Linked DNA regions of Sus scrofa. The protein of the gene in region 1 interacts with the protein of each later gene in a biochemical or structural test. Links are inferred from orthologs where the notes say so. Each region holds a gene or a part of one and is shown in the gene's direction. Other genes may lie near its edges. The genes, in order: RPS6KA3 and PEA15.

What was found.
Region 2: the proteins of RPS6KA3 (region 1) and PEA15 form a complex in vitro, tested with the Homo sapiens proteins (2 studies listed by BioGRID). The link is inferred for Sus scrofa from reciprocal best matches to the Homo sapiens genes RPS6KA3 and PEA15.

The regions. Positions count from the first base shown.
Region 1 is NC_010461.5:16,567,041-16,579,088, reverse strand, and holds the start of RPS6KA3 (ribosomal protein S6 kinase alpha-3), read left to right. Parts: upstream 1-3,876; 5' UTR 3,877-4,162; coding exon 4,163-4,231; intron 4,232-12,048. UniProt on the Homo sapiens protein: Serine/threonine-protein kinase that acts downstream of ERK (MAPK1/ERK2 and MAPK3/ERK1) signaling and mediates mitogenic and stress-induced activation of the transcription factors CREB1, ETV1/ER81 and NR4A1/NUR77, regulates translation through RPS6 and EIF4B phosphorylation, and mediates cellular proliferation, survival, and differentiation by modulating mTOR signaling and repressing pro-apoptotic function of BAD and DAPK1.
Region 2 is NC_010446.5:90,258,737-90,270,227, reverse strand, and holds the end of PEA15 (astrocytic phosphoprotein PEA-15), read left to right. Parts: intron 1-2,783; 5' UTR 2,784-2,785; coding exon 2,786-2,957; intron 2,958-4,298; coding exon 4,299-4,454; intron 4,455-4,607; coding exon 4,608-4,672; 3' UTR 4,673-6,628; downstream 6,629-11,491. Other genes in the region: DCAF8 (DDB1- and CUL4-associated factor 8), read right to left, coding at 8,822-8,938, 9,769-9,885, 10,519-10,638. UniProt on the Homo sapiens protein: Blocks Ras-mediated inhibition of integrin activation and modulates the ERK MAP kinase cascade. Inhibits RPS6KA3 activities by retaining it in the cytoplasm. Inhibits both TNFRSF6- and TNFRSF1A-mediated CASP8 activity and apoptosis.

The DNA.
Region 1 (12,048 bases):
GATTTTTTTCTTAAGCTGTGTGTCCAACAGGAAAATATTAATTTTTATTTGGGAAATTTCAAAGAAAAAATGAAATTCATACACATGAAAAAATATGTCATCATATATTTTAATTATTGTCTTAAGCAAGATAAAATTTAAGCCTAACTTTTTCTTTCTCTCCAGAAGGGAATAGTTATACAGTCTCTAGTGGGTTTTTTTTTTTTTTTTTTTTTGTATGAAAAGTAAAAATGCTTCAGATAATGTAAAGGGAAAAAACTTTTTTTTTTTCAGAGAGATAATGATGATTACACGTTATGGGTTTTCCATAGGGACAAACCAATATGTAACAGAGCTGTGAGTTTTGGATGTATAGGAGGTAGAGATTGTGCCATGAGCCATAGTTTAGTCATCTTGTAACTTTTCCAGACTGATGTAACTCCATTTTTTGAACAAATGTTATTTTGTTAAGTAAATGCCCATTTAAACTTGTATACAAAGGTTATAATTATAGCAGGAAATTGTTGGGGACAGAGGAGGTTAAATCTGGTTGTCCTGTCATACATCAGGAATGATTTCTTGGAAATCTAGTCCAGATTTTCGACTGAGGTTTGCTGTTTTCTTTTGCTGTAGTTTCAAGTAATAACTTTCCAATATTTTGGTTCTGACTAAGAGATATATGTGTGTATGGAGGGGGGAGGGTATTGAATCAGTAGGTAACTGAATCAGCCCTTTCTGCTGATTTTTCACCCAGGAGCCTCAAAAGACAGTGGAATGTGAGAATATCACTTAACATTATAGGACTTGTAGGATTACATAAAAGGCTCAGTGTTAAAGGAAAGTTCTAAAGCAGCACTGTCTTATAGAAATTTCTGGACAAGTAAGCCATGTATGTAAGTGTACATTTTATAGTAACCACATTAAAATAAAAAGAAACAGGAAATTAATTTTAGCAACGTATTTTATTTAACTCAATACATTGAAAATATCATTTCAATTTGTAGTCATTACAAAAATTACTAATAAGATACTTTACATTTTTTGGGGGTACTAAGTCTTTAAAATCTGGTGTGAATATTACACTTACAGCGTGTCTCAATAGCGACCAGCCAACTTTCACTGATCAAGAATCACTGTGTGGCTAGGGGCTAACATATTAGCTTGCACAGGTGATCTCTAGAGGCAGCTATTCTTTAAAGAACTAAGAATTTTCATTTCTTAAACAGGAAAAAAAAAAAAAGTAATCCTGCCCAGGGTAAAATCACCTTCTACATTCAAATAAATCTTTTGGTTGTCACCTAAGAAAAATCCCCCAGATTTCCCCAAATTCTCTCAGCCAGAAAGAGTGGCTGCACTGCTCTTGGATTTAATAAATGAATGAAATAAATTTTAAAAATATTGTTAACCAAAAGGAAAAAAAAAATCACTTTCTTTTCTTTTCGGCCAAAAGGAAGGAGAATAGTGTTTTCCCCAAATCAATTCACAAATACTTATCAAGTTGATTTTATCTGCAAGACAGCTGTGCTACTGGTAGTTTGGCCCATTATTAAGTTACTTTAATGCTTAATTCCTGCAATATGACCACTGTTCACATTACTTTTACAGATCAACTCACTGTTTTAAGTTATTTCTCTAGTTTTCAAGATAAAAAGAAATGAATAAAAGTTGATACTGAAATCAGCTTTTCAATATACAATTTGATTTACTTAAAAAAGGTTAGTTCACTCTTTGAGTGGAGTAATTAACGCTGGGCGGTGTTAGACACATAATAACTCTCTTTTCAACTATGTATGTTTTACTAAAGAAAGAATGTTAATTGGAATAATTGAGCATTGTTGGGGGGGTAACTTACCTTAAACTAACGAAATTGACCAACTTCTTTTCGCTGTAAGGAATGGTAATGTGGCTTTGCAATATAAATGTAAGATAAATGAGGCACTTTGTACATAAATGCAAAACAATACACAACTCCCTATCTTTTCCAACTTTGGCAAGCTGGTTTCACCGTCAAGAATTACAAAGACGGTGGCTGCCAAATTAGCTGAGTTTTGGGTCCAGATTGGATTTGCAGCACTTGAATCAGCATGTTGGGGGAGGTGACAGAATCACGAGCTCAGTCCTCCCCACCCCCACCCCACAGACCACGCTGAGCCTGCCCAGATGTTGCTCAACCCTGAGCTGTCCCCCTGAGTCCAAGGCTGCGGGAGAGGGCGCGCAGCGAGTATTTCCGGCCGCCTCCTCGGGCCGCCTGAACAGATGAAGCCTCTTCAGGTGGCCACGAGGCTCCCGGGCCTCCCGAGCCTGTGCCCAGGGGCGTGCCCGCAAAGGCAGGAGAAAGAGCCTAACACCTGGCTCTCTCTGGCCAGCGGGAAACCTTGCTCCGCCCGCGCAGACTGGCCGGCTAGGTGTGGAGCTCTAATCTCGTCCTCACACCTGCGTTAGGGAGGAAGGCGAGGGCTCTCCAGGTGTGTGGGTCCTGGGAGGATGAAAGAAAGCTGTTAAAAGGCGTGCACCGGGAGCGCAGCGGGGGACGCGCTGTGGTCGCGGGGCGTGGGAGGCTCGGGACGCCTGGGCCGAGGCCTGAGGGGATGGAGGCATTGGCCGGCCTGGAGGTTTCCCTTTACTTTTTTTCCGTCTCCTTGTAAGGCGGTTAGCCAATGGCTGCAGTAGCTTTCCACTCAGCCCGGCGACTTTTGTACATTTCTCCCCTGGCGCACTGAGCTCGCCACGGCACCTGGCGCGGGAAACAAGGGGTCGAACCTCCCCTCCCGCCCGAGCCACTCCAGTCGCCCAGGCCTCTTCCCTTGAGCTCTCCCTGTCCTCCTGCGCTCCGTCGCCGTCTGGGGCTTGGGTTTCCTTAACCTGGGGCTTCCCTATCTCGGGCAGGAGGAGTTAGAACCCCTCCCTCTCTCCCCTCCTCCACCCACCGCCAACCTGATTTTTAATCTAATCTTTTATTTAAAGTCAACAGAAGAGCAGGAACCCCGGGCTCCTGCCAACAAGATATTTTAAAATAATTCCCCGACCTCTGCCGAGAGGGGCAGCCTTAAAGAACCTCCTTGTTTTCTCCTTCATGAAGATTTAAGCAACGGGGAACGGGGGTGGGGGTGCGCTTCGAGGGTAGAGCCTGAAGCCCGAGGGTTCTGCGGCCTTGGAGGGGGAGGTGTCGACTCATGCAAGACCAACTAACTCCAAATATTAAAAATATAACACAAGAGCGTCAACTTGGAGAGCCTTGAATCAAAGGGAGAGCCGAACCCTCAGGCGACTACCAGGGCACGATGCCTTCAGTCTCCCAGTCCTGGGGGAGGGGGGGCGGGATGGTGAAGGGGCAGGTGAATGCCCATCGAATGACCCTGGAGAGGGCGGGTTCTGGGTCTTTACGGCATACGTCCATAGCCTTGGCGCGCCCACATGCACCCACGGAATAATCAGGACGAAAAGACAACCCCGTGCCCCCTCCCCGAGTCCTTGCGCCTCGCCCATCTCCTCCCTAGTTGGGCGGGGACCACTGTTCTCTACATCCCCGAGGAGCCTTCGATCTGCTAGGACGCAGGGCGCTTAGAAACTCCGAGCCTTTCGCACCTCCTCCCTTTCGCCTCTTTTCCCCCCACCTCCCGCCGACGCCCCCAGATCTCTACGGCTCAGCCTTTCCGAAAGTAGGCGAGGCCCAAAAGCTGAAGCTGGGGCGAGGAAGGAGGGAGAAGTGGAGTGCCGCGGCCGGGGGCGTGTCTTCCCAGGCCCCGCCCCCGGGTGCGCGCGGCGGTGGCGGCGGCGCCCGAGCCTCGCTCTGAGAGACAGGTATCGCTTAGGCGCCATGTTGTGAGCGGAAGTGGGGGAGCGCGCGGGGGCTGCTGTTCTGCTGGGAGCGGGCGCGGGAACCGGCGGGGGGGGGGGGCGGAGCTGTAGTCCCGGCGGCGGAAGGAGGAGAGGAAGAAAGGGGCGAGACCCGGTGCCCGGCAGCGGCGCGAGGCTCTCGCTCGGCGCGCGGGCGTCTCCAGCCGGGCGCGCGGCGTTCGAGGGTCGGTGTCTGCGCCGAGCCCTCTACCCAGCAGCCGCCGCCGCTGCTGCTGCAGCTGCCGCCGGCGCTACTGCCGTGGGGCTCGGGCGGCGACGGAGCGGGGCCGGCCGCGGGGCGGGCGGGGAGGGAGGAGGCGGTGAAGGCGGCGGGCCGGGGGGGAAGATGCCGCTGGCGCAGCTGGCGGACCCGTGGCAGAAGATGGCTGTGGAGAGCCCGTCCGACAGCGCTGAGGTGAGTGCAGTCGGGCGGCCGGGGCCGGCGCGCCCCCCTCCCCGCGCCCCTGCCTGTTCGCTCCCTACCCGGAGCCGGCCACTCGGCCCCTTCGCGTCTCCCCTCGGTCCGGGGTTCCGGTTTGGGTAGTTGGGGTTGGTGTCTTTGCCCTTCTGTTCCTCCACCCGCACCCTCCTCTCCCCTCCCTCGCTCTGGGGGCTGTGGTGTGGTGGCGCGTGGGGTTGGGAGTGGGCGCCGGGGCTTTGCGAGCAGCCGATTTTCATCAACTTTGCGTGGGGGAAGCGGGAGGCGGAGCGGGGGCTGGCGAGGAGTTACGAAGTTCGGCCCTGCCTGGTCGGGGGCTTCCCTGGACCCTGGTGACTTTGGGAAATGCGGGAGGGGTGTGGATTGGGTTCGCTGGGGAGCGGGGACTCTGGAGTCCGGCGGGGGGCGGGGGTTGTCCTGGGGAGCCGTGCACGCGGGGGCAGGCACGCCCCGGGACAGGGGTGGCGACCTTTGGGGGTTTCGGGGAAGGGGTGCAGGACAACCAAGACTTTTTGCCTCCCCCCCCCCCCGCAACTGCAGCAGCGGTTTCTGCTGCTGCAAAGGAGAAAGTGGAAGCCTGGGGTCCTGAACACAGACACACACACACACACACACACACACACACACACACACCGCCCCGTTTCTGAGGTCGCTGAGCTCGAGGACCCCGTCCCTGCGAGTTTAACATGAGTTTCCTGTCCGTAGAGGTGAGAGGGTGATTTTCAAGGAGATCGGCAGCCGCGGTAAAGGGCTTTCTGGTTTTCCTCGCCCGGAATCTGATGACCGTCCCCGAGACACCCACCCAAGTGACCCAAACCCAAACTGTGTACCTAAACAGGGCACACCAGCATTTCCCCGGCTCTTCGCAGCCACCCCTGTCCCAGAACCAACTCGGGTCTGTGAAAATAATCCGGGCAAGACCCATTCCAGGGCATCAGCGCTCCTCTCCGGAGTGGAAAATCAATTCCTGATGGTGGCGCGTCTGTGATTCTTCCTTCTTGACTTTTTGCTGTCTTATATCCCCACAGCGGACTTTGGGGGATTACAGGATGGTAGGCTGCGTGTGTGTAATAGTTACTGAGTGAGTGACCCCATTTCTGGAAAGCATGACTGAAGCGCGGGGGTGGAATGGGGCAGGCTCTGATGAGTGGTGTACTTGGCGGCAGCCGCTGCCCTGCCGGCCTCCGCAGTGTGAGAGGTGGATAGGGTTACTGGTTACGTCAGTAAGACCCAGGCTCAGTTTGATCTGAGATGCGGGACGCTTGCGTTCTCGGGTATAAAGGAGGGGGAGGGGGACAGGGATCAGTTCAAATCACTTTTCACTTTTTTCCTAGTCACCTCCGCTGCTGTGTAAAATGTTTACTTGCTCTCCATACCGCAGGCAGAGTTGTAATAGTGGCTTATGGTTGGTGCTTAGTATTTTGAGACTTGGATCACATTTTTAAAACCTAAATGAAACACTGCTCTTCAGTAGAAAAGACATTGATAAATGTTAAGCCAAAAATTTCGTAAAGGAAATTATGCTTTAAAGTCTGGCAGAATTACGAGAATTTCATTTAAAATTGTTAGCCAGACCGATACTGTAAAATTTTTAATAAGAAAATCAAATTTAGAATGTTTAATCAGCTTTTGAATGGATAGCATGAAAAATAGGGTGTCTGAGGCTCATTTCATTCGTTTTTTTCTTCAGAAAACATTTTGCATTAAATAATATAGCTTAAATGTTAATAAAATGTCTCTAAGTGCCGACCTTGTGGAAAGAAATTGAATTTGCTTTGAGCCTGAATTTTAGATGCAAACTTTAACATTTGCAACTCATAATCAGTCCACATTTCTGCTTGGCACACATCAGTGTGTTTAAAAATCAGTTAAAATTCCACCTGATCCTTTTTCTATATAGTACACATTTGGATTAGGAAGGCACAGAGCTGATGTTTATTTAGCACCTACTACATGCCAGATAGTGTAGTACATGCTATTTCATTTTATCCTTCCAGTGATCCAACAGAGTATGATTATGGTCCCAATTGTTACAGATTAAGAAACTGATCTCAGAAGTTAAGGGCACAAAGATTATAAATAGTAAATGGCAGAGCCATGATTCAAAGCTAAGTGAATATAATTCATGTGCTTTGCTTTATATTCGAGTAACTGCTTCATATCTTTTATGGAAAAAGCAGAGTATAAATAAATAAGCCAGTAGTTAGAGGTCATGTATTTTTCAGAAACAGTTATGGTATTATGAGATGTCTCATTTGTTAAAGCATAGTTATTTCAGTTACTGTCATGGTTTCCAGAACATGGCAGATAGGTTTCCACAATTTGCCATTTTAAAGTAATTGTCTTGAGATTCTGGTATAAGGTATGTCAATCAATCAGAGCCAGTGTTGCCTAGCTTTATTAAAACTAGATTTTAACATATTGCCATTAGATATTTTATTGCCTTTGGTTTTTCAGCTGTTTCAAGTAAATTACTTGTGATTCATGTTGCAAAATATTGAGGTCGGTAAGGAAAAGGTTGATTTTCATTCAAAAGTAATATTGAACTTAATATTATGCTTACTTTTATGCCATCTCTTCCCCAGTAAGTTCTCAGAAATAATTGTATTTTACTAGAATAAAATAATTTTTAAAATAGTCATTTGAGTAAAAACACCAGAATATTTCTCTTCAGAGTATAAGATTTCAGGGTTGATCTCTATAGAAATTTACCTTTTTGGTCTCTTCCTGGTAGGTTGAATTGTTCAAAGCAGAGACTTTTTTTTTCCCTTTATATCCTCAACACTTAATACAGTGCATGGCACATACATAGCATAGACACCCCCCCATTACCGCTGAATTAATTATGAAGGTCAGGAATAGGGTAATTATCTATCTTATCTCTGTTCTTAGCATTTTATAATTTTTTTATAGTTGGTTCTTGACCTAGATCTTTTTTTTTTCCTATACCACAGCTCACAGCAACGCCGGATTCTTAACCCACCAAGCAAGGCCAGGGATTGAGCCTGTGTCCTCGTGGATACTAGTTGGGTTCGTTACCATTGAGCCACAATGGGAACACCTGTTCTTAGCATTTTAATCTTCCATTGAAATATGAACAATCTTTAAAGACCTGAGTACTTCACCAAAAGTACCATCCGTTTCTTCATTCCTTTACATGTCTTCTTGACCTCACATGGGTCTCATGGTGTTCAAAACAAAAAAACCCTTGTGGTTGAACTCAAACATGGGTCAGAACATGATAGGCTAGAACTATGCCAAGTATTTAAAGAAGCAAATTTAGGATAATAAAGCAAGTGCTATGTAAGCAGAACCAAGGTTGGTGCAGGATTAAAAACAAAATAGCTTTGTAAATAGTCCAGGTGAATTCAGAACTCTTTAATTAGTTGTTTAAAGATGCTAGTATGTTTTTGAATATTTGACTGTTTAGGAGGTTGATATCAAAGAATTGTGGCTGTTCTCTTCTACAAACTCCTTGCCACTGCTGTCAGGGACGTTTACTGGATCATAAGCCTGAACTAAAGTGACACTTTTTTCTCAGTTTCAGTAAAGATAAATTATAGTAACTCTAAATATGAACAATTTTCAAAAATAATAAAATTAAAGAGGTTTATTTTTGCTTTATAGAAATGTGTTATGTAAAAATAGCTACCTCGGAGTTCCCTAGTGGCTCACTGGGTTAAGGATCCAGCATTGTCACTGCAGTGGTTCAGGTCACTGCTGTGGCATAGGCTAGATCCTTGGCCGTGGAACTTCTGAATGCCATGGGGCACAGCCAAAAAAAAAAAAGATACTTTCATTCTTTTAAATAACAAGTTACCCATAAGACATTGAAAAATATTAACTATATAAGTATTTATAAAGAATGAGACCCTTGGAAGTTCCCTTGTGTGCAACCGGTTAAGGATCCAGTGTTACCAAAGCTGTGGCACAGGTAGCAACTGCAATGCAGGTTTGATCCCTGGCCCAGGAACTTCCACATGCCATGGGCATGTCCAAAAAAAAAAAAAATGAGACCCTTGTTTTGGAAACCATTTTCAGTGGGTGTGCAACCATTTTTAACGTCAAAGATTATATTGGATTTTGTAGTATTTCCACTATACCAGTATCTCTTATATTTCATTTGTAGGGAGAAACATTCTATTAAAGTGTGATCTTTGGTTTTGAAAAAAAATGTTTTATTAAGTTTCTTTTCCTTTTCCTGTTTCATTTTTACCACCTTTCAGGTTTTTTTCTTTCCCCAAAGTGAAGATCTGAGGAGAGGACAGGTATTGTTACATGTCAACTGTCAAGTAACTGTGAAACATTATTAAACACTTTGTTGTTTTCAGTGATTATAATATTGGATATCAGTTCTTGTTAAACTAAAATTTAAGAGGGTTTGCTTCATTTTGGCAGCTTGATCCTATACTAATGGGGTTGATCCAAAATGTGAAACTTCTTTGCTGCATTCACATTTTAAATATAGAGAGAAACTTAGCCAATTAAAGGAACAAGTATAAGCAGACTTTGCCTTTTCATTAGTATGTTTCTGGAGATCACAATGAGTATCTATTTTTATGTAAGAAGAGTGGCATAATTGAGTTGTACACTCTTGACCAAGGACATGACATTGAGTAAATTATAGAATGATCAAAAATATAGCAGATCATTTATCAGATGTCTGAGTTTCAGAAAAGTTGCTCTAAAGATTTTTTAAAAATTTATCCACTAAAAATTTTATCCCGTTGTGATCATTCACAAGATTTGCTCTAGAGTTCCGTGCTCAAGGACATGTGACCTGCCAGGCTGGGAATGTTGGGTGACATCAAGTGGCCCAGTTTGTCCAGTGCAGACTGGATGCTTTAGACCCAGTGGTTCAGATTACAGTGTACAACAGTGACATCTTGATCTCTTGGTAATGCATGAGTGTGATAGTGCTCAGTTGTATATGTGTTTTGATGGATAAAAGTTTTGACGCTTCAGAATGGAATTGAGCAAATGTATATTTTACACATCCCATTCCAGAGTTCACATAATAGAAGGAAAAAATAAGCAATTGCATTTTAACACTTGACATTAGATGCCCGCTCCTTCTTTCAGAGTTGATAAAATTTCCTGTGTCATTAATTTGTAACAGCAAATCTCAGATACTTCTGTATTTCAGTAATACCAAATAGCACAGAAGCAAAGACAAAATAACTGTAAATTTTAATTAAGTAAAATGTGTCAAGTTGATGAAACAAACATGCTATATATGTTGTGTAAAACAAGGTAAAATATATCCATATAAAAAAGCTCGTTTCATACACTGAGCTGCTTTAAACAGATACCTTAGTTACTAGCAATTAATTATTACAATTTTACCTAGTCCACTTTATGAGATAATTTGGATATATGATAAAGTGTTGATGAACATAAGCTTTGAAGCCATGAAGACCTGGGTTTGAACCCTGGCTCTGCCGCTTAATATCTTGTTATGCAAGTTATTTAATGTGTTTATGCTTCAATGTCCTAATCCATAAAATAGGAATGAAAATAATATCTACCTCATGGGGCTGTGGTGAGAAGTAAATGATAATATATGTTAAGCATATATCAAGTGTTTAATAAGTAATAGTTATAATGAATCATCTCTCAAACAGAACTGTCTTAGGAAGTTCTGTGTTTTTCTTCTGGAGTAATTTTTTTGGAATCAAACAGAATGATTAAAAATGGTTTGTTTGATCTGTTCAGACAGAGCCTTTATAATATTTGAATATAACTGTAATGGTAAGGTGAACAGAAATCTCTTGAATCTTGTTCTTTTTTTGTACTGTTCTCCTCTTTGATGTCTTTAAAGGGGGGAAACATTTTTGAACACTATGAGTGGAAGAAGGAAGAAAGCAAAGTATGTTCATATTTCAGCATTGCTCAAATTGGAAGCCTTCTCAGGATCCATGCATGTCATTGTTTAATTAGTAGTGGGTTTTTTTTTTTCTTAGAGATTTAAAAGAGAATAGTGTATCTTACACATGGTGGTGTCTTATAATGGATGAAATATGGTGTATTACCCTATATGTCAACACTTGAAGAAAGTGTGTCTCTGAATGGATAAAATCAATATATAGCATCAATAGGTGGAATTTTAACTTACTTTCTAAAAAGTACCAAAAGAAAATCACACCTTTTTATATTTTAGGATCAATTTTGTTAATTTCATTTTTTAGGGACAGAAATTAATATGGCACACCTCCCTCCTTGTTACTATAAACACATTTGTTTTGGTTGGTTATTCAGATATGCCCTGAATAACTGGGTTTTCCTGTCTAGAAATACAATCCTTTGGATTTTATTCTGTTATGTGGTATTGGTACTTAAGGAACTTTCAATAGTATGTATGGTGTTTTCAGTTGAGAAGTCTGAAAATGTTCAAAGTGTGTCTCTGCTCCAACATCCATCTCCCACCTCTAGAAAAAAAAAAAAAGCGAAGGAGCATGATAAAATCAAATAAATTTGAGGGTTGTGAATTTAAATGAAATTTGACCAATGTCTCTATTGCATAACTTAGAACTTTTAAGATGATGATGTATGTGATGAATCTGCAAAAAAGAAATTGCTCACAGCATTTGAGGCTCTATATCAGCACCCCTTTTTCATGAACCATCTATTGAAGTCTCAAAGGACACAAGTGCTGTGCAGAGCACAGTTTTAGAAAATCTGATAACTGCAGTAACCTGATCCAGTATTGCCTGGAAATGAGTTATTATGTTTAATTGACTGTATCAAAGCTTCCTTTTCTTTAACTGTCAGGAGTTTTTATTTCATTTTGAATTGAAGTCTTTCTCAATTTGTGAAACAATTTTCCATTTTGATAGTGACTGAAATTTTAAATGCAATAATTTAAATATTTTAAAATAATTTAAACTTTTATTCAATCTTCTGAAAATTAATGGTCATATTCTACCTTAATATCAATCTAATTGCCCCGACTATAACTTGACTTGCTCTGTAACTTATGTTTAATATCTGTCGTTTTGGGGAACTCTTTTATTTGCTACTTAGTGCTGTTGTCAATCTGTCTACCTCTTCCATTCTTATTTTTTAATTAATTGCTTCAAACTTGTAGATACTAGAAAACAGCTGGGGTTAATGATTTTTGATGCAGCTGTTGTTAATTTGGAAACATTGTTACTTCATCTTTTAAAAAATTTACACTTACAGCTTACCAAATCATGTAAAATGACCTGCTCACCCCCTTTTTTTTTTTAATCTCTGCCCATCATATACACATAGCTCTGGATTCAGGGGTATTTAATGGGCATATTACCTACTAACAAACAGTGATTTTATGCTTCAGCATACCATAATGGGTGGTTCAATTATGTGCATTACCTACTCTGAATATTTACCCTCTCCTCTTGAAGGTATCAGCTAGAAAGTAATGTGAATGAACTAGAGATCAGATAGCTGCAAGACTGAAAGCTAGCCTACTGCCCCACCTGGAGTCAGCTCACCACATTGTCTTTTGGAGAGTATTTTTGTGTTTTTGTTTTCCATGAAATAATGCTAGTTTCCTGAATTTTAGATAATCGTACATTTATGCGTAAATCCAAAAGCACTTGTATACTTTGTACCATTCTTTTATTAGTATAAGTAGAATTATAGTGGTAGCATGACAAATCAGATTTGCCCATCTTAACTAATACTGTATGTATGGTTTCTTACATACCTTAAAAACTAATTATGTTTTATCCACCTCGTTTATTTTTACAGTCTTACATATGATGATGATCTCATCTTCATATCTGACCTGGTCATCTAAATTTCTGTGA
Region 2 (11,491 bases), on another chromosome or scaffold:
GTGGACAGCCAGGCTGCCTGTCCTCGCTCCCTCACAGGGTCTTTCTCCTGTCCTTTCTGTCTCCTCTTACTCACCACTCCCCACATCCCTCCCATCCAGTGGTGTCATTGTCCTGACGCCTGAGGGGGGGGCGGGGAACCCAGAACTGAGGTTGCCATGGTAACCAGTGAGCCGAGGCTGCAGCCTTCTCATCGTGGACTCTGTGCTCCTTGGCCCCCTCCCCACAGGCTTCCTCATTTGCAGCCTCAGAGGCTTCCCCCCTCCCACCAGCAGTTCTCTTCCTCCATTCTGTAGGCTCCCCCTACCCTTCCTCTTTCCTCTGGATGTGAGCCTGTGATTCTCTGCCTTCTTACACTTACTCTCAGCTGGTCCGACACAAACACACAGACCACATACACTCAGAGCCACACATCCAACACTGGCACATACACATCCATCACCACAACATCCAAACACACCCACAGAGAGCAGCCACTGCCCCCTCCCTGTACCTGTGCCCACACCCAGGGAGCAGTGGCCATCCGGGGGATCCTGGCTCTTACACGTTCCCATCCCCACCCCCCCCACCCCTGTTCTTTTAGGGCCTCGTTGTATCTGTTTCTCTTAAACAGCTCTTACCCACCGCCCGCAGCCTTTGTGGGTGGGTGTCTAATACACACTAATCCCTTCCCGCCCACCTCCCCTGTAAGTCTGTGTTTTTGATTCAGTCCTAAAACTTAACTCCTCCCAGGAGATACACACACACACACACACACACACACTCACTCCTCCCACAGAATCTCTCTATTTACAAACTCTTCTTCCATGTGCATGCAGGGTACTATGACCCTAAATCCTGTCCCATTTTCCAGCCGAGTGTTTGGTCCCAGGGTCTCCTCAACTCCTTCCGGTGGTGCCCCTTTTTTTCAGCTCTCCCCACAGCTCCGCTCCATTATTACCCCCATCTCCGAACCCCCTTCCCAGCATTCCTCTTGTCCACATCCCCCTCTTTTCTGTCCTCGGATTATCAGCAGAGGGAGGTGGGGGCTGGACTCCAGAGCCTGCTGCTCTGACCTAGATTTCAAGGCAGAGACGGTTCCTGGTGCTGACAGTCAGAGAGCATTGTTCCTGGCCCAGCCTGGCAGGGCCACCGCTGGGCCCTTCTGTCTGGTTGCACCTGGGTGTGCAAGTGAGCGTGCCTTTAAGTGCCTGTTTCTTGTGGGGGTCATGCTGGCCCTGGTGCCTGGCTCATTGTGTGTCTGTGTCACGGTGCCTGCCACCAAGGGAGGCTTGTTTGTTCTGGTCCAAGCAGGGGTCTGAGAATGAGGCCTTCTGAGTCCATGCCTCTTACTATGTAGTGGCTGTGCCTCTCTGCCTCAGTTTCCCTGCATGTAAGCCGGAAATAAAGGAAGATGGGGTGTGTCAACTAGTCCCCTTCTCATATTCCCGGCCCCGTTGTTGGGGTGATTCGTGGGCAGTCTCAGTCAAGTACGAGGTCATCTAGCTCCTTGCCCCACCCCTTGGTCTAGCCAGTGTTTATGGCATAATTAACTTCTTAAAATGCTTTATACTTTTCTAATTATAAAAGAAAGACATACTCATTGTGGGGGAAAAGGCTCCCCTTTTAAAACTCACCACTGGAGTTTCACATTTCATCACATCCAGAAAGTTCATTCTAAGGTCTGACCTTCTCTCCTCTGGTCTTAGCCACATTTCCTTAGCCTAGTAGAAGGAAGGCCTTGACTGTTTTTTACCTTTTCATCTGAGGGTCTTCATGAGGAGGAATGGGGTGAAGGACTAGATGAGATCGAGCCTCCCCCAGCCTCCTCTGGGAGGGTCACATGGAAGGTAGTGCCAGCCGGATGTTGATGCAAGCAGGAGCGGCAGCCCCCTTCCTGCCAGACTCTCCCAAAGCTGCATCTGAACCCCTTCCCCCTGCCACCCAGCCAGCCTGGGAACTGGGCAGGGGGCCAGAGCCAGCCGCTTGGTATTCTTAGGCGCGGGGGCTGTAGGCATAGCACAAAGGCTAGGAGAGAGGGTTGTGTGGAGGCCCAGCAGCAATCAAGGGAGAAAATGGGCTCCGCAAAGGTGGGGGTAGCCCATTGCTCCCCCCTCCTCACACTACCCCGTGAGACCTAATGACTGAATACAGGGCTGAGCATGGAGGGGCCAGGGGACCATTAGCCCAGGCTACTAGGCATCCATTCAAAATGAGTCATTAGTGGGGTGGTGGGGAGTTGATGTGAGGGGGACCCCCCTGTGCTTCTGGGAAAGAGTAGAAGCTAGAACACATGAAGTCCAATCAACCTCCTCCAGCCCCTTTTTAGCCTCTCACTGCCATGGCAAGCCTCTCCCTGATCATTGTTTTGGAGTCTATGTGTGTGGTTTTTGTTTTTTTTTTTTTTGACAGTGGGAAGGGTTGCAGGTGGGTGAGGCAATTCTGGTGGGGGGACTTGGAGAGAGCGGGTGAGTGAGAAAGTCTCAGGAGCAGGTTGCTATGGTAACCGCCTCCTCAGTCGGGGAGCTGTTGCCAGGGTTACTGTTAGAGGGGGGAAAAGGAAGAAGAAAGATGGTGGAGGGAAAGAGGTGTGACTTTTCACTCTAGGCTCCAGCTTGGCCCCTAGCTTCCAAGTTGCTTCCTGTCTACTCCTGCCTCCCTTAGGGCTTCCTTTTCTGTAGCCCCAACATCCATGTTCTAGGCACATGCCTGGTGTGGTTAGAGGAGGGGCGTGTAGTGCCAGTGAGCAAACCAGACCCTGTACCTCAAGCTCAGCCTCCTCTCCCTTTGTTCCCCTCAACCTCAGTCATGGCTGAATACGGGACCCTCCTCCAGGACCTGACCAACAACATCACCCTTGAAGATCTGGAACAGCTCAAGTCAGCTTGCAAGGAGGATATCCCCAGTGAGAAGAGTGAGGAGATCACTACTGGCAGTGCCTGGTTTAGCTTCCTGGAGAGCCACAACAAGTTGGACAAAGGTAGGGGAGGGGGACACAGCCATCCTCCTACCGTCAGCCTTTCAGGCTCCTTCATTCAGTAAATAGAAATGGGCTCAGAGCTCCTATACAAAGTGTGCTCTCTGACAAGGCAGGGTAAGAGGGATGCTCTAAGAGAGTACAGGGGCCCTAGAGCAGTGGTTTTTACATTCTTCATATTTCACCTTGCCATTAAAAATATCATTCAGAAAAAAAATGTTACTCAGATCCTACTGTGCTATCATCACATATATAATGGAACATTAAAATAGAAGTTAAAAGTGATAAAACTTAAAGCCACAAGCGCTAACATTTTCTTATCCGTTTCTAGAGACCAGTGCTCTGGAAAGAGCTTTAGGGAGGAACAAATATTTTAAGATGGCCCTGAAGGACAAGTGGGATTTCAAAGGCAGGATCCAGAGGACATGCTAGGCAAGGGGACCTGGTCGCCCAAGTGGGAGAGTGGTGTGTGGAAAAGCAAGGAGTTCTGCTTAGCTTGGCTGGGGCAAAGGGTATGTTTAGAAGTGACTGGAGGGAGTTCCCCAGTGGCCTAGCAGTTATGATCCAATGTCATCATTGTTGTGACTTGGGTCATGGCTGTGGTGCAGGTTTGATCCCTGACCCAAGAACTTCTCCATGCTGCAGGTATAGCCCCCCCCCCAAAAAAAAAGGTGAAGGGAAAGGTAAGGTAGGTCTGTGCCATGTAGGGCTTTGAGCAATAGGGTATTTGATAGGTGAGGTGAGTGACATGAGGCCCTGCAGAGATACTCATCTGTAGCTTGGGTAGCAGAGAGGGAGGCTGCAGCAGGAGAGGGAAGGAGCCAGGCAGGGAGACAGCTGCAGTCTGCTAGAACTGGCTGTGGAAACCATCCTTTTGGTCATGTCTGTGCTTCCTCATTCACAATTACCCTTCTCACTAGGCCCAGAATCTCTCCTGTGTGGTCTACAGAGTCCACCCTTCTAGTAGCACATGTGCTGCTGGGAAGACTTTTCTGATGGTTACTTTGAGGAAAGGCAGAAGAGGGACACAGTTGGGTGTCTGGAATTTGGAAGGCCAGCTAATTCTTCTGTTCTTCTCTCCCTTCAATGTGGAACCTGGTGTTTAATCTAAATTCCTCATTCTGGAAACTTCACTGATCAACCATCTGCCCTTCCTGGGAACAGTTCTGCTTTTTGGTACCTTAGCTGTCCTTTCCTGGCTTAGTAGCCCCTCTTCCTCCAGTGTTGCCTCCTCCAGTAACCAATGTGAGCAGCTCGGCCCGGGTTTCAGAAGCCTGGTCTGAGAGTGTAGGGAAAGCTGACCTCTACAGCTTGGCTCTGACCTTGTCTCCTGCCTCCCTCCAGACAACCTCTCTTACATCGAGCACATCTTTGAGATCTCCCGCCGTCCTGACCTCCTCACCATGGTGGTTGACTACAGAACCCGTGTTCTGAAGATCTCTGAGGAAGATGAGCTGGACACCAAGCTGACCCGTATCCCCAGTGCCAAGAAGTACAAAGGTAAGGGGTCATGCCTTTCATACGCACCTCTGCCCCCTCCCATGGTTGTCTGTGGAGCACTTGAATTTCGGAAGAACAGAGGCTGATGCTCAGTTGGCCTGCCTGGTGCCTCCCATGACTTTTGTCCCTGCGCTCATCTCTTTTTGCCCCCAGACATTATCCGGCAGCCCTCTGAGGAAGAGATCATCAAATTGGCTCCTCCACCGAAGAAGGCCTGAGCAAGGGGGAGGAAGAGGAGGAAGGTTGGACCTTCATCGGACCACTCTCTTCCCCCATCCTCCCGGGGAGGGTGCAAGGGCACCCCCCGCCACCCACTTACTAACCTGGTCCTAACCCCCTTACTGTGCGCGTGTGTGTGTGTGCGCACGCTCTGGCTGTCTGTCTATATGTCTAGCTCATCTAGTTCCTCCTCCTTGTGAGGGGATGGGGGTCAGGGGCTGGGGGTTGGGGGGGGCTCAGTTTCCCCACTCTAGGGGGAGTTGGGGGCTATTTCTATGCAAATAGAAATGGGCACATTTCTCCTCCTTCCCTTTCCTCCACTCTTCCCCCACATCTCTAAAGTGTGGGAGCAGAAAGGACCTTTATTTTCCTACATTGAGGAGGCAAGGTGGGAGGCATGGGAGAGGTGGGTGAATCTAATAGAAAGCAGTGGGAGGGAAGATGCAGAGACTACCCAACCCCCGCCTGGAAGGGTCAAAGAAAAGCCAGAGTTCGTGTCCGTACCCCAGTGCTGGACTGGCTGAAGAGTCTAGTTTCCAGCTGTTCCTCAGGTTGGAGGGCCTGGGCACGAGCAGGTTCCTTTTTGCTCCCTCTCATGGGCCTAGGACGCGTAAGAGCCAGGGAACTGAAGAGCGAGGATCACTGGATCTTTTCTGGCCCCAGAATTTATCCCATGGAGCACCCAGCATTAGATCCCGCCTCCGCCTCTGCTCTGGAGACTGCTGGGAACATGCCCCACTGGGGCTGAGTGGGGATGAGGGCAGAGTCCCCTCTTCTACTCCTTTATTCCTACTCAGACTGTTGCACATACTGACCTAGGGAGTTCGGAGAATTGAGATCCTTAGGTTTTAACTCTAATCCTGCTTCCACCTAGAGTCCCAATGTGGTTACTGCAGGCAACCTTTCCTCTCTCTGCAGTCAAGAACCCCTCCCCAAGCCAGAAAGGGGATGAAGTTACCTACGGTGTTTTCTGTTGCACTGATCCCCAGTTCAGTCCAGGAGGGGACCTGGTAACCCCTCTCCCTCAATATCCTGGCACCTTGGGCTTACGAGCGCCTCCTAGCCAAGTCACCAGAGTCCAGTGACCCCAGCCTCCTGCCTGTCCCAAGATACCCCTGCCCACCCTGACCGTGCTAACTGTGTGTACATATATATTCTACATATATGTATATTAAACCCGCACTGCCATGTCTGCCCTTTTTTTGTGGTGTCTAGCATTAACTTATTGTCTAGGCCAGGGCGGGGGTGGGAGGGAAATGCCACAGTGAAGGGAGTGGCAGAGACAAATTGCTACATAGTCAAAACGAAAAAGAAAACTTAAAAAAAAAAAATTCGCATGTCAAGAGACTATTTAGAGTAAGTTTAAGCTAGGAGCTTTTAGGATGTGGGAGCAAAGCTTTAGGTGGAGGGGAGGGCTGACTGTTGGAAGAGGGAAGAAGCCAGACTGGTTGGAGAGCACCCTTCTACTCCTAACCCAGCCCAGCCTGCCTGTCCCTTCTGGCCACTGCTGCGGACACCTGCCTTAACACATACACCTCGAGTATTCCACAGGTTTGCCTTAAAGGACCTTCCCAAGTTTCCCCAGCCCTGTCTGGCTTCTCCCTCAAGAAGAGAGAGGGATACCTGTAGAACTAAGGAGGAGAAGGTAAGCATGAATTGTCCTTCCAAGGCAGCATATGTTAAGTGAGATTGAGAGAGAGAGAGAGAGAGAGAGAGAGAAAGAGAGAATGAGAATAAAGAGTTTCCTTCAAAGAGAGAAGTTGAGATGGGAGAAGGGAGACAGGGTCATTTTCAGTGGAGTCTAGTAATTTCTGTAAGGCAAAATAATCTAAAAAGACTAACCTGCCCACCCACCCCTTGTACTGCTGTGAAATTGCCCCTATCCTGTGCTCCTCCGTCTGCAGTGTGCACGGCCTTGTTCTAACCCTGGAATAAAGGTGATTGATTGTACTGTATTAAATGATTCTAGGATTTCTATGAATGACCAGGACTGTGGAGCCTCTGGATGACTGGGAAGGGAGGGAGAGCAGTATTTACCCCCAAATCCTAATTGCAGCCTGGAACAGGGGCCACCTAATATCATCTAATATCTCTCCCCTCCCCCATCTGCTAAGTATCACTGAACTGTGGGGCCTGTTCCACTTACAGTCCCCGACTGGAGCCCAACCACTGGAAACATGGATATCCCAGACTGCACTTCATAAAACTGTACTAAGACCAGGGCCGCCTCTACTGGAAGGAGCAAAACGAGCCAATCAGGAATGAATGGCCCACATATCACACACACAGCAACAGTCAGAAAAAAAAAAAAAAGCTTTACTGAGAGAAAATACACAACAAATTCCAGAGTGCACGGTTTTCAGCCCACTCCATCACCCCACCAGCAAGAAGAACACAGACCACTCAGTCACCACACATTCCCCACTTCAGGGAGGAAGTGCAGCAGCTAACATTTGGTCTGAGTGCTGCTAGGAAAAAGGGGCAGGAGGAAGGAGTATCTGGGAATTCCATCCTTTCACTCTTCCCTTCCTTCCTGTCCTGTTCTAGTAGAATCTGACCGTCCCAGGATGCAGAATTCCTGGTGGGGGGCAAAGAAATAGCAGCAAAAGCATTTAAGGGCAAGAATTCAACTGGGACTTTCATATTCAGTGACCAGTGATACGACAGGTGTCTGAGCCCCAGCCACCTTAATCATTCCTTCAATCCCAAAAGAGGTGGATAAGGTATACAGTCAAACCCAGGAGGTCTCTCCCTGTGCTCTTCCATGAGGAAGGGAGCTGGTGTGGAGTGGGATGGCTTAAAGAATCAAGCAGCTAAAGGTAAGACTGTGTTTTCTGTTACACACAGTACTAGGAGAGATGGCCTGCAGTGGCAGACCTCTTCCTGAAGCCACAGTTCAGTCAAGTTTTAAAGATGGGCCAGTCTGTGGTTAAAAGAGCCATCCTGGGAACCCCCACAAGACTTAAGGAGAGGTAGGAGACCTGGGGCAAAGAGCTAAAAGGGGTTTCCCAACCCTGAAACCACGGCAGGAAAGCAGGGAAAGGCAGGATTCAGGATCTTTCCATTCTCAAGCCTCCTAAAGCCTAAAAGGGTGAGCCCCAATCTCCCAATGGCCATACACAGAGAGGAGGGTGACCCCAAGTGACACCTCCGCATCATTACTCTCACTCACTCTCCTCTAAGTCCCTTTATTGCAGTCATAGAGAATATATAGTATTTAAACTTTGACAATAATTTTAATGTGATACATCCAATTTTAACTTGCTTTTTAATATATTTATAGATATAAAAGTAGGCCTCTAACAGTGATAGGGACAGGGAGATTGCTGCCACCAAACAAACTTTTTTTTTTTTTAAAGTAACAAAAGAGGTAACATCCTTCCTATTCTTCCACTTCTACCCCTCCTCCCACCTCCCCCCAACCTCCCTCACCAGACCTAGTGAGGGAATGACAGGATGAAGAGAAGAGAGTGAAGGATACATAATCAAGTGCAAAACACTGTGATAATAAGTACAGAGAATGAATGAGGTGGAAAACAAAGTGAAAAGTGTGGGATGGTTAGGGGCTCTAAGGACCTCCCAGAGAAACAGGATCCTGGGATAGGGCTGCTCAAGGGGAAGAAAAAACAATGCAACTGTCATAGACTTTTTAAAAATAAAGAAAATAACGTCAAAACCTAAAACCAAAGAGAGAGTGGCCCTTCTACCACTCCCAGTCTGGCCCCTTGGTACTGAACAGCCAGTTAACCCCCCACCCCCCACCCAAGAAACAAGGGAGATCAAAGAAAAGGAAACCCCATTCCTTACCCAAAACCAGTTAACAAAATAGGCTCCCCCCTCCCAAAAAAAAAAGAAGGCTTTGGGGAGAGGCCATTTCTGCTGAGTCCTGCGCACCTCTCCATGGAACCCCATTGCAGGGCTCAACTCCCACTCTTAGATACCCCTGCAGGTTCGCTCTCCTCTGGCTTGTCCTCCTGGGATGTCTTTTTTTTTTTTTTTCTCCTTTTTTTTTTTTTTTTTTTTTTTTAAATCTAAAGCAAAAATGTCCAAAGTGCGTTTCTGCTGAATGTAAGGGCCTGGGACAGGAAAGGGCTGCCCAGGCAGGATCAGGTTGGCAGCCCTGGCCTGCCCCTCCTGGGTACGAGGCCTCAGGATGGCATACACTGCACCCGGTCGGGGCCCTCCTCCTCGTCCGATGTGTCTGAGGAGCTGGGAGACTCATCCGAATCTGCGTCTGTGGCCCCAACCCCAGGTTCTCGCCAGCGCTGTAGGATGGGAAAAGCTTATTAGTAATTACCCTGGAACAAGGACAAGCCTGTCAGGTCTTAGCTAAGATTCAGATACTCTAAGCCAGGGGTCAGCAGAATTTTTCTTTTTATTTTTTTGTCTTTTTAGGGCTGCACCTGTGGCGTATGGCAATTCCCAGGCTAGGGGTCTTATCAGAGTGTAGCTGCCTACTTATGCCACAGCCACAGCAACGCGGGATCTGAGCCACGTCTCCCTGACCCACTGAATGAGGCCAGGGATCGAACCTACCACCTCATGGTTCCTAGTCGGGTTCGTTAACCACTGAGCCACAACAGGAACTCCCAGAATTTTTCTTAAAGAGTCAGACAGTACATATTTTACACTCATGGGCCACATCTCTGTCACAGCCATTCAACTCTACTATTGTGGCATGAAAGCAGCCACAGACAATACATAAATGAATGGGTGAGGCTATATTACAATAAAACTTCATTTACAAAAAACGAGCACATGCCAAATCTGCCATAGTTTGCTAACCCCTGCGTTAGGACTCTTCTGGCTCAAGGAGTTTCTCCTCAACTCCTTCCCCACCCTCATGCCATTGCTTTTATGAAGACAGCATTGTGCATGCATGGTGATGGAAAACACAAAGAAGACAACACCAATTTCTGCTAGTGGCTCTTCTAAGACTACATCAAGGCTTTGATGGGGATGGGGGATAATGGATAGGAAATCCAACCAATTTCACCTGATTTCGTCTAGAGCAGTGAGGAAGTGTGCACTGTGGAACATTACCCTCTTGAGAGGGTCAACTGCCTTTGGGAGCTCACTTCCCACTTCAGCTTACCCGGTGATGGCGTCTCTGTCTCAGGTGATGCATGAGGAACCAGAGCATGTGGCTATCAAATAAGTCAGTGTGGTGTAAGCTATCTTCATCCCGTTCCCGCTTGTTCTTCTTAATCACCTGAAATCGAAAGGGGGAGAGTGGATAATGAATAGGAACACTGGACCTGATCAGAAAAGGCTGGTGTTCTAGCCCAATAAAATCTTCCCTTAGGGAGTTCCCACTGTAGCACAGCAGAAACGAATCCGACTAGGAACCATGAGGTTGAGGGTTTGATTCTTGGCTTCGCTCAGTGGGTTACGGATCTGGTGTTGCCGTGAGCTGTGGTGTAGGTCGCAGACATGGCTCAGATCTGGTGTTGCTGTGGCTGTGGCCTAGGCCGGTCAATGTAGCTCTGATTAGACCCCTAGCCTGGGTCCATATGCCAGGGGTGTGGCCTTAAAAAAAAAAGACCAAAAAAAAAAAAAAATCTTCCCTTAGGAACTATTAACAGAGTGTAGCATAACTAGATCATATTAGAAAAGGATGCCCCACTTTCATCCATGGAAAAAATGTCTCCTGTCCCCATCCTACCATCATCTAGAAGCACTGGGGCTGTTCCTAGAGAGGCAATGACAGGAACGTGGGGGAAGGGGAGGGGTTAGAGAAGTGCCTTTGAAGGACTGTACAGCAGGTTATTCCTTCCTCTGACAATGAAAATTCCTAACTGTACAAATAAGCAGAAAGAAGAAATCTATATAGCCAGCCACTTACATCCTTTAACCCTGTAAGCTCAGTGGAAGTTTCGGCTGTGGGTGCCCAGATCTTGACATCATGGTCTAGGCCACTGGTTGCCAGCACAGGCAGGTGAGGATGGGGCTCAAGACAATTTACCTGGTCAGGAGGAAAGGAAAACACAGGCTCAGGAGTATGTGGAATAGCGTTTAATAAACACTACTCACCTCGAACCAAACAACAAACCCTGATGAAATCAGGTGCAGGGAAAGCAGGCCCATTCATCATGACCCGAGGGCAAAGGGCCCTCAGGGTAGAGAAACAATGGGCACAGACGGAGTATAAGAGCAGGCCTATCTCTCATTTCCTACATTTAGGTAGGGCAGTCTCATCCCCAGACCCAGCCCTAGGGGTGGGCGGGTGACTGGCCAAGCATACTGCTGGCTTCAGAAGAAGGCCAATGAGGTCCGTATGACCTCATTCTCTCCAGATTCCACAGTTCCAACTTGCCCAAGGCTGGAAAAAACACCTCAGTGGCTTTCACCAAGTGGCAAATAAATTTTTAAAAATGAAAAAAGCAGCAGCTGCTGCTGAGCCCCTAGAGAAGACTCAGAGAACAATTACATTCACTTGGCACTGTTTACTAGAACTGGAAAGAGGCGCAGACTGGGAAGAGGCTGATCCTGGGGAGTGGTGGGATAGTGGAGACACATCTGCTTGAGAACCCTGCACCTCCCAGGGGCCAGCACCCTGCTCTCTGCCATGAAAGCACAACAGCCTCGACCATAGGACAGCACAGTACAGCAGGGCGGCTTCCTAGGGCACCCATCACTTCAAGCTAAGCCACCCTCCAAGCAGGAGGAATGAACTTCAGCAGCCGAGTGGAAGGCTTTCTGGCTTGGGCAACTTCCTTCTATCCAAAGGCACCTATGCCCCCTACTGTCTGACTTGGAAACATCAGCCTTCCTGGCAGGGCAGGACGGGGCAGGGCCGCTCTCATCCCCACAGGAAG